Linked DNA regions of Schizosaccharomyces pombe. The gene in region 2 interacts genetically with the main gene of each other region. Each region holds a gene or a part of one and is shown on either strand. Other genes may lie near its edges.

Region 1 (5,276 bases), 470 kb from region 2:
GTCATTCGCTCCAGAACCATTCATAACCCGATAAGCATGGGGGATCGCTGACCCTGAAGGAGAGCGTGCACGTTCAGCTATGCCAGAATCGTGAAGAGTCTTAGCAAGACTAGCGTTACGCGCCTGTCCATTTCTTCGGGCGACACGATTTTCGAAGTTTCGGTCGTATTTCATATACATGTTATCACGATATACACTCATTTTTTAGAAAATAATTAAAAGAAAATCCAAAAAAAAAAGAAAAGGGTTTAAAGTAAGAGCGAATGGAGAAGCTCAGCTAAATTTTATCAGCAGTATTACTTTGCAAACAGTAAAATGTAGCAATCGATACAGAATATTGTATCAGATTTAAGACTTTCCTTTTTTAACAACGATTTGAAATTAAAGCGAGGAAATGTGAGTTATTGAAAGAGGCGTCGACAACACAAACAAATTATAAAAATAATGTGTGGTATGCCAGCAAAATGAAATAATCAACAGTTTCACTAACCTGTAGTACAGTACAAGGGCTATTACCAAAAGAAGAAAATGGCTTTACCACACAACCCACAAATACTAAATAGGATTTGTGGATAAATCTCCTTCAACAACGATTCTAATGGAAAAGAGTCAATACGGTTTTGGAGCTTTTTTTGCGTGTTCGAAACTTTGATGCCAAGTTTTAGACGCCACACAAACTTGCCTTCAGCTTCTGCTAAGTTCTAAAATTATCAAGCTCTACTAAAAAGGCGATATTATTGTTTTCGTATCAATTCAAAAGACAGAAAACCAATCCTCACAAGATTGTTAAGTGCTCTCTCTATAATTAAGTTCAAATGCAACAAGGGTAAGGCAGAGAGTAGAGACTATGGTTTTGCCTGTGCTTATGTCTGATTTTTAGATATTCTAATGTAGTAAATGGGAGACGGAAAGTAGGTAAATGCCGCGAAAGAATTGTTTGCAAAACTCACACTTGGGAGTGACGCCATGCAACGTAATAAAGCAGTCAAATGTACCGATACACAACCACCCAAAACGATAAAGTATATTAATATAATGACGCTACGTCTCACTATACCCCGAATTTCAATGATTCCTCCATATCAGTCAGTGTAGAAAAAAAAGACGAACTGGAGATGGAAGAACAGTTTCCCACCATCTTTGGCATTTTCGGCCATTTCCTAATAAGCGCAGCAATTCCTGATGGCTGTAGCATTGCACATTGGGAGGGAAGAATGATACTCTTTTTGCAGATATTTATTTCGATATCACTACATAGGGCCTATCCTAGTCATTGGAAAGGTGCCAATTTCCAGCGATATTCTCCTATTTTTAGAAATAATTAAAAGCTTTGCACAAATTTCATTCCTACCTCACTTATTTCGTACATCTCAGAAGTTTGATGAACTTGGGAAATCCCAACATATGACAAATGCAATGGGAAAGATAATTGATAGTTTTCCAACGAAAAAGTGGGATTTAATATGTATATGAGAGAGGATAGTAAAATGTGCCAAATTTTGGGTTAACTAGAGGCAATCTAAAGTATGAAGTAAGTGAACTACTAGACAAACATCTACAGAAACAAAGTATGGAAATAAATGAAGATAGACAAACGAAAAGCATACTATTTCGAAAACGAATCAATATTTAGTCAATTTTTAGATCCAAAATCCATTCATTTAAAAACAGACCATGCCATCTATTTGGAAGCAAAACTGTAGTTATTCACCTCAAAGCGAAAGTATAAGGAAAAAAAAATAAGCCGAGACAATTAGGTTACTAAATACGTCTTCTCATGGTTTCGGAGAAATGAAAAGGGAAAAAAAATTAAATGTATACAAATATATGTATATGTATATGTGTGTTTGAGTCTGTCTATATGTATGTATAATAAAATAAAAACAGAAAGAAGAACAAAAAAGATTCAGAACAAAGAATCAATCAAAAATCCATCTGTCTATATAATAAACCAAAATCTTTTCACTTCAATTTCACCACCGACTAATTCGAAGTAACGGCATTGATAGCTTCGGCAAAGTATCTTACATTGGAAGTGTTGAGACCGGAGATGCTAATACGACCATTCTTAGTGAGGTAAATGTGATACTGTTTAGCCAAAACATCAACTTGCTGGGGATTTAAACCAGTATAACAAAACATACCAATTTGGTCAGTGATATGCTTCCAGCTGTGTTTATTCTTAAGGTCCTTTTCAAGGATGTTGCGAAGAGCCTTACGCATACTCTTAAGACGTTCGGACATGCCTACAACTTCACCAGCCCACTGTTCACGAAGTGCAGGGTTGCTCAATATATGGTTGGCAATTCTGGCCCCATTGACGGGAGGGTTGGAATACAAAGCACGAATGAGAATCTTAGTTTGGCTTTCGATACGAGCGGCTTCCTCAGCATCGTTGGCTAAAATGCTAAAGCAGCCAGCACGTTCACCATATAGACCCATGTTTTTAGCAAAGGATTGGCAGAGTAACATGGGGACATTGCTGGAGGCGAACAGACGAGTGGCATAAGCATCACGAGCAAAATCACCACTGGCAAATCCTTGGTAAGCCATGTCTAAAAGAGCAAAATGGTTTTTCTTTTGCATTGTTTTGAGGATATCATCCCACTGAGCTTTCGTAGGATCTACACCAGTTGGATTGTGAGCACAAGCATGCAATAATATAATAGAGCCATCAGGAGCTGAAGTTAAATCGGACAACATGCCTTTAATGTCCAACCCACGAGTAGCAGGATCATAATACTTGTAGGACTTAACGGTCAAGCCAGCTCGAGAAAATACATTCTTGTGATTTCCCCAAGTAGGGTCAGATACGTAAATAGTCTTTGATGGATAAAATGAAGCAAGGAAATTAGCTGCTATACACAAGGCACCGGTACCACTAATGGATTGAGCAGAAACCAGCCTATCCTTTATAGACTCGTAAACATCGCCATAAGCCAATTTTGTTGCTTGCACACGGAAACTGGGAATTCCTGTGATGGGTGCATATTCTTTGTCGAGTTTCTGACTCAACAGCTCAGTTTCTGCCTGACGAACACTGGGCAGAACATAAGGCTTTCCGGCATCATCACGATATGTACCAGCACCCAAGTTCATTTTCTTAACATCTCCATCCTTTTTATAGGCCTCTGTAATACCAAAGATGGGATCCGGTGGTCCCATAGGTACATCTGCCCAAACCTTGAATCCACGCTTGCTCTGACTTGCCAAGCATTTTACTCCATGGTAGGAAACGTTGGTTTTTAACGATGCAAATGTATTTGGATGCAAACAACGCAAATTCCTGGCCAACATCGTCGAAATCAATATTCTTCCCAAAGTTATTTCTGGGAGATTGGTTAAAGGCTCTTCACAGGCTCGCAATCAATCGAATCCTGCTAATATATATACGTTCTTATCATGAGAAAACCACGTGGTTCAATGTATCTGCTTACCGATCGATAACATAATCCGAAGCTGTAAGATGTCAAAATTAGATAACGACGTTTATTGTTTCTTTCGTTATCGTTCACTTGTAGAGCTGTTCCGAAAAAACATTAAAGTAGCATAGCGAAAGCTATAGTTTTGTAATCGCAACGTAGTTTAGCAACTAGTAAACAGTAACTCGTTAATTACCAATATTTATCGTAAGTAATTAAGGTAGTTAATAAATTAACATTAACAACAATAAAAATTGTAAAATAGCTGTTAGACTTGTAGAAAATATTTTTCAATAACAAGAAGTCATTCAATAATCATAACTTGAATAAGTCAATTTAGACCTTCGAACACTGTTTAAGTCATCAGACTGTCTTTAGTAGCTGCTTCTATAGCTTTCACTGTTGTTGCTGTAAAAGGTTGCAGAAGTAAGTTATAGAACAATAATTCTATTCATATGGAGGACTTTTATTAAGAAAAAAAACGAAATGAAGCCTACAGCACCCCGGATTCCCATGTTGTCTCCAACCATAGTACTAACGAGGCCCTCAGACGCTTAACTGCAGTGATCGGACGGGAACTGGTGTTTTCGCCTAGGTATGGCCGTAGACACCTAGTAAAATACTTTATAGCTTATATAATTTTATGCTATGTAATTTTGAGAGGAATGTGTGTTGTTTGAATTGGGATAAATATTCTTTAGCAATGATTCCTAAGTAAAAGATAGATGCAAGGTTAAATCACTTTAGCAAAGTCTATGTTCTAACAAGAAACACGACGAATGCACGAAAAGAGATCCGTACTCCTTTTAATAAAAATCGATGGCAATTGTTTAACCTTTTTTAAACCATTATTACTTCTACAACACTTTATATTGAGGAAAATTTACTTAAAGTGAGGTCTCTTGAAATGGAATGGTTGATTCACGCGTTGGTAACAGTAGATACATTTTCGTGTTCGAAATGTAAACAACTCAAGAAAATTAGGATGTGTTTTTACCATACACTATTCAAAAATTACAATATCGCAATACTATGTTACGCAATATGTTAGAGTGCCTTGAGCCACCGGTTGCTTGCATAGTGTCGTGGTGGAAAACGAGTGAAGCTAGATATTACCAATACCAGATCACTTTCACTGAGAGTATCGATCCAAAAAATGGTAAGTATTTGAGTATTTTGAGGCTGAAAACAAGACTGAATTAAATGTAATTTTTTCATCTATCGCTGAATAGTCTTGTTTTCACTCTATCACATTCTTTTCATGTTTTAATATTTAATCCTAACTCTCCTATAGGGACAAGCACAATCTGGGAATTTTTCTAATTTCGGCGATGGTGCCAACGGCGACAATAAAAAAGACCAAAAGAAAGATAAGCCCAAATACGAACCTCCAGTTCCCACTCGAACTGGTCGTCGTAAGAAGAAGGCTCAAAGTGGTCCTGATGCATCGGCAAAACTACCTACTGTTATCCCAACGACTCGTTGTCGTTTAAGGTTGTTAAAAATGCAAAGAATCCACGATCATTTGCTTATGGAAGAAGAGTATGTGCAAAACCAGGAACGTCTTAAGCCACAGGATGAACGAACTCAGGAAGAACGCAATCGTGTAGATGAAATTCGTGGTACTCCAATGTCTGTAGGAACTTTAGAGGAAATTATAGACGACGATCATGCCATCGTTTCCACAGCTGGACCAGAGTACTATGTTTCCATCATGTCATTTGTCGATAAAGACATGTTAGAGCCTGGTTGCAGTGTACTTCTCCATCACAAAGCCATGAGTATAGTAGGCTTACTTCTTGATGATACCGATCCAATGATTAATGTTATGAAACTCGACAAAGCACCTACAGA
Region 2 (5,277 bases):
AATCCCTAAACTGCCTGCCGTTCACCGGAAGAGAATTTTTGGTATTCAAAAACTTTCCCTCCGTGATGATGATAATGACAGTATTCCTCGTTAGGATCACTGTGCCATATTGAATTCATCACCTTATAATCATGGTGTCTATCTTTGTCTTTGAGCAGGCTGTTTTATTCCGCTTGAAACTCCTTCACTCTCAAAAATATAAACAGTCTATTGCAGCTTTGTTACTAATTTTGTCAAAGATGAAACTAATCATTTATTTCCCGGTACTTTAGAAACCCAACCATTAATGACTTTTTGTTCACTTATTTGTGACGTCGTTTTTCCCTTTTATTTTTCCCGTTAGCCTTTACTGGAATCAAGGTCGCCCGCCTTCTGCTTTATTTCATTGCTAGTAATGGATGCCATAGCGGCAATTGCCAAAATTTTCTCCTAAAAAAAACTGTTCCTTTTATATAGGATTTGCGCATCATGATTTGCTTTCCCAAAAAACAACGGAATCTGTACGACCTTTTTTGCAGGTATTTGTAAAGGCTTTCCCTTTCTATTGTAAAACTTCATTCGCGTCTCGAATATCATCTTACATATTTTTTCTGATTTATAAAAATATGCACATAATTTCATATTCGACCGCTTTGCATTTCATTATAAGACGCTTCTACTTGAAGAGAGCTATCCTTGTGCACGAATGTTGTTTAATTGTTGCAGGATACAAATTCATGACTGATGTATTTATTCATCTATTTTGTCTTGGTTAGTTAGTTTTGTGATTTCATTGGGATGTTCCCTAATAAAGGAAATTACTCTACCACAGATATACTCGTTCACTAGTAAAAGTAATATTTTTAAGTAATTAGCTGTTCTATTTATATATTTTTCTAGTTGTAGTACGGGTGTATATGCATGCATGTATGTATAACAAAATGTTTCAAGCTGTGAGACTATAAAGCGTGCAAGAAAAGGGAGCACAAAGATCGCCAAATATTATATGCAAAACAGTAAATGAAGGACTAATGCAAATGAGTATTTTTTATGGAAATTAAACGAGCAAACAGAGATTCGACAGTAGCCAGCAAAGCTCAAAAGATAGCAATAGCTAATTTATGTAAAAATGAGAAAACGCAATGAATGATTTGTATGCAAATGTTACCGTAAAAAGGCTCAATAAAACCAGCTGCTGCCAATGTATTAGTTATGGCGATTATCATCAGACTTATGGTCTATAGCAGCAGTTTCATTATAAGAATGATCATGGCGCTTTTTGTTAGAGGTTTGAGAGGATGAAGAGCTACTAACATTGAAAGAACCATTGTCATTAGATGGAACGGTTTGGGCTGGTTGCGGGATGTTGACTGTTGGGTTTGTTGGATGAGAGCGGCGTCGGACTTTCTGACGGAAGTTTAAAACTTCATCTAAAATGACACGGCGTAACTCATTTGCATCCTCAATGTATTCAAAGCTGAAATCAAAGACGGAATCACACACAGGTTCGTCAGAGGGATCATGCCAAACAGCTAAATAGGGATGTTCTAAAGCATCGTCAACCGAAATACGTCTGTTGGGGTCGAAAGCCAAGAGCTTAGCAAGCAGGTCAAGAGCCAAAGGATTGGCTTTAGGAAAATTGGTTTCAAAAGGAATAGGTCTTTGCTTTGGCAAGCTTCGAACATACTCCTGTGCACGGGAACTGCTTATATGAGACAGGGTTTCCTCATCAGGTGTGCCAAGTTGATGCAAAATTAAATTTAACTGATGAACAAAATCTTTTCCCTTAAACAAAGGGGTTCCACCTAATAGCTCTGCCAAAATGCAACCAACACTCCAAACATCAATACCTTTATGATAGCTGCTGAACGAAAGCATAATTTCCGGAGCTCTGTACCAGCGCGTTGCCACATACTCCGTCATAAAACCAGGATTTTCTTCTGGATTTTCAGAACATCCGCGAGCGAGGCCAAAATCGCAAATTTTCAGCTCACAATCAGCGTTAACTAAAAGATTACCTGGCTTTAAGTCACGATGAATAACGTTGGCAGAATGAATATACTTTAAACCACAAAGTATCTGGTAAATGAATGATTGAAAATGCGCATCCGTTAATGGCTGACCGGATTTAATAATAGCATTCAAATCGGCCTCCATCTATTATAATAGTTAGTAAGTAATTATACAAATATTTCCGTGACTAAAACAGACACCATATGTGGATCATCGCGTAACATACCAACTCTTCGTAAATGTAAACTTCATTAAAATTGTATGGATTTATAATGTCGAGATCGTAAATGCAAGTAATCTACCATGTTAGTAAAGTTTATAAAAAATAGGAAAGACATCACTATGCAAATGTAAGACAATGAGCAGTTCAAATTTTTTAATCAACCGAATTCCAAACATTATATCAAGATTTATAAAGGAAATACTTTTCAAGGATGATTAGAACTCATTTCTCATAGAAGACTTTTCATTGTATAAAAATTTGCATTTTCATCAAAATGCACCTCGTTAATACATCCCGGTGATGATGAGTAATCAATCACAGGAAGCCGTTTTTGCATAAAAGACTTACGTTACGATGATTACGAAAATGAATCAGCAGTTTTATCTCTCTCAAAGCTCTTTTTGTAAGAATGGATTTAGAAAACACATTCGTAATTTTTTTTATGGCTACAGCCTCTTGATCTTTGCTAGCCACGTTTCTTGCTGCACAAACAATGCCGTAAGCGCCTTGACCCAACTCCTTCACTACCTAAACTATGTTAGTTTTCCTAAAAGTTCAAGCAGATGCGATTTTCTGTCAAGTAAACAAAATGTTTTGCAAATGCAGCAGTTACCCAAATATCTCATACCTTAAAATTAGGCTCGACATACATCTCCTGGTTAAACACACGGTAAACACGATGTCGACGGTCCATCCTTGCGACTTATAGCATGCAACTTGAATTTTTAGCTGTTTGGCAAAAGGGATGTGGAAAAAACTACAGTACATCACTTGTAGTGATTAACGATGCCTTATATTTCACTATTTGAATGCAAGTCGGTTAGATTTGAAGACTATCAGATGGAATTTATGGTATTAAAGAATATGCATACAAATCTAATAAATATATGAGGAATACTAAAAGAAACTAGGTCCAGAGTTCAAGACTACCAAAAGCGTCAACAATAAGCACTATAGCGTACGGTTGGTACAAGAAGGCCATGTCAACGATGGGGTGCAGACGATTTTCGCTAGGTAGATTCTTTTGCTGTTGAAGGAATAGAAGAGGCCTTGACACTCCCGAAGACTTTGGGCGTACATTCTGTTGTTCAGAGACTTTTTGGTAGATAGGAGGTTTGTTATGTATTAAAGATAGTTTTGAACTCTCGGAGTCGTTGGTCACCGACGAACTAGCAGAGACATTGTGGGGATTCCAAATAAACGCATGAGGGCTTCCAGAAGCGGCAATGAGAAAAAGTGGCTCTCGTTCGACAGAACCTGCAGACGGACCTCTGTACCTATAGATTGGACTAGATATACAAGGCCAAGGAGAGTCGAATTTGGTATTCAAATCTCTTAATCCCATGTCATTGCCAGAATCTATATCAAACTTTTTTTTTTCATTAAAAGCATCAATTCCAACAGATACCGGAATCGGACTGGTGAGTGAAGAATTCCAGTTTTCTAAGAAAACCTCTTCGGTTTTCCCTTTTTCAACGTCAAAATTTACTATGCCTGAAGCGGATCTGTGACTCGCTGGAACTGCATCTTCAAGATTAACTTCTTTATTATCCAAGTTGGTAAGGACGCTAAAACTGATACTGACTGTAGTGCTTCCAAACGAGTTTAACATTCCGTGATTTTCTAAAGGATTGATGGGAATAGTAGAGTTAATTGGCTGAGTACTACTTGAACTTGTACTTGAGCTACCTGGAACCTTGGTAACGGGACTATTGTTATTTCCGGAAGTATACTCATTAACGTTGCTACGTTTTTTGGTAACATCTAAAAGAAGATGCATCTGATCAATCCTGGCTGGCATATGCCAAGAGCATGATAATGTCCCAAAGCGGAGGTCCCAAAGTAAGAGCCATCCTTTGGTAGTCCCAATTAAAGCCCAATTACAACCCTCAGAAACTACTACACTAGTAGCTGACCCACACTGTAATGGTAATTGGTCTGATGACAAAACCCTCATCATTCCCACGTCTAAGTATACGATGCGTGACCATTTTGTAACAACGACTAGACGGATACTCCCGTCGTGAAATGTAGAAGCTTCCATGGAGGTTACAGAATCACTGAAATCCAAATTGGGAATACGACCAGCCGAAATTAGAGTATGCCGCTGATTGTTAACGTCAAGTCTGTGAACTTCCACAGAGCCATCTTGAGTAACAGAAGCAAAAGCGTATGTATTACCTAGAAAGCATCCATTGACCACAGAAAATCTATTCCTCTCGCCATTACGTCGCGTATGCCCATAACTTAATCGGCATTCACATCTCATAGTTGAAATATGACGAACACTTTCAACTAATTGCCATGCTCTTACAACACCGTCAGATCCCAAGGTAACGAAAAAAGATGAATCTGGACTAACCAAAACTTTCTTCGTACCTCCATCAAGAAGGCTTCCTAAATATATCTGAGCAACTCGTGATCCTTCTGGATGCCATTCATGAGTCTGAACTATTTTATTCGCAGCCTTCGCAGACACCTTTGTTCTACGACGCAAAGGTATATTAGAAGCCCAGCTTGGTGAAACAGCAGCACCAACGTTAAGTGTCGAAGCCGCTGCTTCTGCATAAATTTTATTTAAATAATTTAAGACGCATGGATTAGTTCCAGTATACGATGATTTTTTTGCGCCATTTTGCCTCGTGGTAAGCTTTTTCAAATCGATATGAGTAGTAAATGATCTTTGGCTTCGAATACCGGCAACATTAGTTGTATCATTCGTTGAAACCCTAGAAGAGATCAACGGTGCGAGGCTTTTCCCCTTCGATTCTTTAGCATGTTTGTCAGAATCTTTAGAAGAGACTATTGCTTCTACAGAGGAAGGCTCCAAAGTATTATTTGTGAGTAAGGGGTTCTCAGTATTATAAGAATTCAACCCACCGGTATCGTCCGTTGGTTGAGTGACTGTGGGATTGTGTGTGTCAACCTTGGAGCTAGCAGTGTCTGAAGGTAGTTTAATTTCAGGATTGTCCGTTTGTCTGTATACATCATGAGTACCAGTAATGGTCTCTCCATTATCAGAATTAGACTCCCTATTAATATCAACTTTGATATCTGATTGT
Region 3 (4,191 bases), 2.3 Mb from region 2:
GCGCTTAAAGCCCGAGAAGAATACCTCCGAAAAGAACTTCCTTTGAAAGTTCGAGCAAATACTTCTCGCATGAACCCCGGAGCTAAAACTTGGATTCCACAAATTAATCACCGAAAAAGTAGAAATCATTATAATCGTAAAGAAACATGCCAGTTTCCCCCTCTATACAATGTTGAAGCTAAAATAAACCATTCATATTCTGCGTTTTATCGTCCGTTTACCAAACGTGAGAATGGTTTGTGGTATGCGAATCCGTATTATATGCAGCATGGTCCAAACGGAAATTACCATCACGTTTATTATTAGTCATGTTTTCAAAATTTTGTGCCAATTTTTTCAATTTCATTCAAAAACCGCATCTTCATCATTATGGTTATAATCGACGCCGTTAAAAAACCAGGAAAAAGAATTTCATAGTCTTAATTTCTTTATTTTTTTCTTTAATCAGATGTCTACAATAATGATTTTTCCATTAATTATTTTCTTCATCCATTGCTATGGTATACAAGCACTTTAGTGAAAACCGCTGTATTACTTTAAAGTCACTGCTTTGCGTACTTCTCATAAGGAAGCAAATTCAGTTAAAGTGCTTATTGTCATATGCCCCATTGCATTAAATATTTATAATCTGTACAATTCATCAATCCATTGAAGAAGCAAATCTTTGTTGGACGGCTTGTAACAATTCTATTCTTCAGCTTATTGCACTTCAAAATGCTCAGAAAAGCGATCTCTACAGCACGAAACTTTAAATATCCTTTATTTAATTGCGAAAGGAGGTTTTCTTACTTTGATATGTTTCGTAGTAAACGAAAATTTACAAGTGGTATCCTAACGGAGCAACTAGCGTTGAAATTAGATTCTGAACTGGGTTACGTGAAACAGGTTCTTGATGAGACATTACCTAAAAAAGGATACGAAAAGGCTCTTCATTCTTTTATAATCCATGAAGATCCTTCGCTTAACTACATTTCAGCTTTAAAAGAAACGGCAAAGGAAAGGTAAGCTATTTTTCCTCAATTGTTTGTTGAATTCAACGATGTGATTTCATGTCTATGCGTTGGCTAATATACAACGTTTAAGATTATGCTTTCAGCAGAGCCTTTAAATTTCTTTCGATATAATAGTACTAACGTAGCTAGAATACGCGTTACTGTTCCCGTATATAGCTCTCGTAAAAGTTACGTCCAAACAAAGCCGATAACGCATAGTGCTGAAAATGAAAATGGTAACGAAACATCTGATGAACTAGTGTTCTTTCAGCATTCAATTCCTGCTTATGTCCAACTCACTAACGTAAGATCTTAACATGTTATTATAACTTACAATTATAGAACCATGGCACAATTTTGTGTGCTTTAATACTTTGTAAGGGCATGCTTCATTTTGATAGCATTTCTTTTCAATCACCTCAAAACTCTCAAGCGTTCTCATCTGACTTGAGGTTAATTTTACAAAAATCACAGAAGTACACTGGCAGAAAAACAAAGCACGTTCCAGCTTCTATCAAGTCAAGTTTACTTGAATTCTTGGATGAACAAGGAATTACAGTAAAATTCATGAAGGCGCTAATATCTCGCAGTTGGCGAAAAGAAAATGTCTCCTATAAGCATTGGATTCATAATATTATTGGATTTATTTTACCTTCTGAATCATCAACAACTAAAAAATCAGACTCCCAATGATGGTATAATTGTTCTTTGAATTCCTTTACTTTATGATTAATTGGAGCAATAACGCTACACCACACTACGATTCCAAATGGGACGCCCACTCTAAAAATAAGAAAATTTGGAGTATAACATATGATTATGATACATTTTTATACTTATCTTTAGCATATCATTTCAACTATTCAACAACATGGTCGTTTGTAAGTATTTCCTTCAAAATCGGTGCAGGTATGGTACCAATTGTAAAAATCAACATACGGTACCTTCTAATGGACAAAATGCATTTTCTAAGGTTAATGTCTTTCGTCCAGAGAATGGACGACCTCCAATATGGGTACAAAGGCGTTTGAAGAGAAGCGATTTAGATAATTTGCTTCCCAATAGAAGAATGAAGGATATTAACGACGATCTTAAAAACGCAAAACCACAATGGCCTTTTACAGGTTATTCAGTAGTTGAGAATCTACCATCAATTTATGAAGGCGATGTTTCGCCTGAAGAATTGCGGTGGTGGGCATATCAGGCTAAAGCGACAAACAATATGCAAGCATATGAACAACGCCAGAAACAGTTGATGGATGATGTAGAAGCAAAAGCAGCAGCCGTTAAACGGTCGCCTGCTGCTGCTTTCGATGAAATGAGAAATAAACTCGTCGGAAAGACAAATTATAAGTCAATTTTTGATAAGTCTACTAGCAATTCAACGGTTACGTCTAATCAGTTCAACAAGCCAACTCAAAATAGTCCTTTCAATTCTTTTTCAAATAACAATAATTCTTTCAATAACAATCAGCAAGCAAACGATATTTTTGGCGCCCCTACGACTTCTGCATTTACATCGCAATTAAATGCGTCTCCATTTTCTCAAAATACATCCTCAAATTCATTTACGGGAAGTAATCCAGTCCAAAACAACCCATCTTCTTTTGGTTCGTCTAGTTTTGGTTCGGCAACCTCAGGGCCATCAGCATTTGGGGGAATATCTCAGCCAAATTCGTCATTTGTTAATTCCGGACAAGGGATTCCTAACTCATCATTCTCCTCGTTTTCACAAGTTGCTTCTGGGTTTTCACAAAGTCAAAATGTGAATGATCCAAGTTCGATTTTCGGTCCTACTGTTGCCAGCGGTTTTGGAATACAGAATCAGCCTCAGCAATCAGCTTTTCAAAATTTGAATACTCAATTCTCGCTTCCTAATAATTCACAACCAGTTTTTGGTCATACATCTTTAACACAACCAGTGAACCCAAATGGTTTTACTGTTCAGCCCCCTGCTACTTTTATGCAACAACCTCAAGGCCCTTTTGTTCCGCCTAATACTACTTTTGAATCTCCATTTGCCAATGTAACCTCTAAAATATCCGCTTCAGGATTTTCTAACGATAATCCTGCTAACAAAAATATAATCCAAACTCCTATGTTTGGATCTTCTAACACAATTGACGGTAAGTTTTTTTACTTTGTATCCTTGCTAGTATACGAATATGACTAACGATCATCGACAGGTCCGATTAATCCAATAGGTGCTTCTTCTATCCAAACTTTGGATGATCAAGTAGAAATGAGTAATTCCAATCAAAATCTCGCATTTCCCCCAGAAATGATTCAGCAATTTGAAGCTCAAGATTTCATTCCCGGAAAAGTTCCAACAACAGCCCCTCCACCACAATTTTGTTAATTATTTTATTAAAATAGTTATTCAACGTAAGTTTTTTCGGGGATTTTTGATTAGTATTAAACTTTGTTCAAATTTCATATTCGATATTAGGTTGTAAATATATATATATATATATATATGTAATTTCAATTACGAGTATTAGACAAAGTGTGATGCTTTCCTACACGGCTATCTGATAAAGTTGTACCTAACTCGATTTATGTATCATTGTAAAATTCTAGAAAGAAAACAGTACTATTTTTTGTTATTAATTCATGAATCAAACTGATAGCTGATTTGATATAGAGGACAGAACTGTCCTGCACGCCTATTGGGTCTAAAGAGATGGTTGTCCCAATTCCACACACAATTCACTCCAGATTTTTGCAAGAACCCAAAACTTTTGTTTATGGCTATTTATATATAAATCTCAATTTTATTTAATTCTTTAAATGTCTGCAAATATTTCTTACCTAGTCAATCCACCTACAGAGGTCGGTTCATCAATTCCAGCTGATACTGAACATGCCATTTCAGTTACTTTACCTACATGGAAATCCAATGTTGGATATGAAGAGGGAGATCCTAATGTAACTACTAAAATGAAGTCAGGATATCCGAGGTTCTTTATAAGCGCACACGTCAAGGATTGCATTAGCATCATAAAGAAATTTCCAGAGATTGAGATTTTGAAGCTAAAGGACTACGATATGTTTTTGTATCCTTCATTATCCGTTGCTAAGCAAAGTGCAGCTTTTCTTGAAAGTAAAGGACCTATAGACTCTGCGGAAGTCATTATTTATGATGCCACGAAGGGACTGCGAAAACATCTTGATTCAATTGACCGAAATCGCAAATATA

What was found.
Region 1: mutations in pmk1 (region 2) and maa1 together harm fitness more than expected from each alone (negative genetic interaction), as found in Schizosaccharomyces pombe (one large-scale study listed by BioGRID).
Region 3: mutations in pmk1 (region 2) and amo1 together harm fitness less than expected from each alone (positive genetic interaction), as found in Schizosaccharomyces pombe (one large-scale study listed by BioGRID).

What each region holds. Positions count from the first base shown.
Region 1 is NC_003423.3:1,198,682-1,203,957, reverse strand, and holds maa1 (aspartate aminotransferase Maa1), read right to left. Parts: upstream 3,400-5,276; 5' UTR 3,298-3,399; coding exon 1,984-3,297; 3' UTR 821-1,983; downstream 1-820. Other genes in the region: histidine-containing response regulator phosphotransferase Mpr1, read right to left, coding at 1-201; 19S proteasome base subcomplex ATPase subunit Rpt2, read left to right, coding at 4,579-4,581, 4,717-5,276.
Region 2 is NC_003423.3:728,492-733,768, reverse strand, and holds pmk1 (MAP kinase Pmk1), read right to left. Parts: upstream 2,954-5,277; 5' UTR 2,910-2,953; coding exon 2,844-2,909; exon of another isoform or gene 2,744-2,843; coding exon 2,564-2,743; intron 2,291-2,563; coding exon 2,219-2,290; intron 2,137-2,218; coding exon 1,186-2,136; 3' UTR 817-1,185; downstream 1-816. Other genes in the region: orm1 (ORMDL family protein), read left to right, coding at 1-94; serine/threonine protein kinase Vps15, read right to left, coding at 3,123-5,277. UniProt on the Schizosaccharomyces pombe protein: Regulates cell integrity and functions coordinately with the protein kinase C pathway (pck1 and pck2). Involved the regulation of wall architecture, cell shape, cytokinesis in exponential and stationary phase, and metabolism of ions.
Region 3 is NC_003423.3:3,027,865-3,032,055, reverse strand, and holds amo1 (nuclear rim protein Amo1), read left to right. Parts: upstream 1-1,830; 5' UTR 1,831-1,863; coding exon 1,864-3,118; exon of another isoform or gene 3,119-3,178; coding exon 3,179-3,351; 3' UTR 3,352-3,371; downstream 3,372-4,191. Other genes in the region: protein mug98, read left to right, coding at 1-306; SPOM_SPBC15D4.11C (Mam33 family protein), read left to right, coding at 715-1,001, 1,143-1,296, 1,335-1,685; met3 (cystathionine gamma-synthase), read left to right, coding at 3,783-4,191. UniProt on the Schizosaccharomyces pombe protein: Involved in the cell polarity process where it is required for the correct termination of microtubule growth at the cell ends during interphase.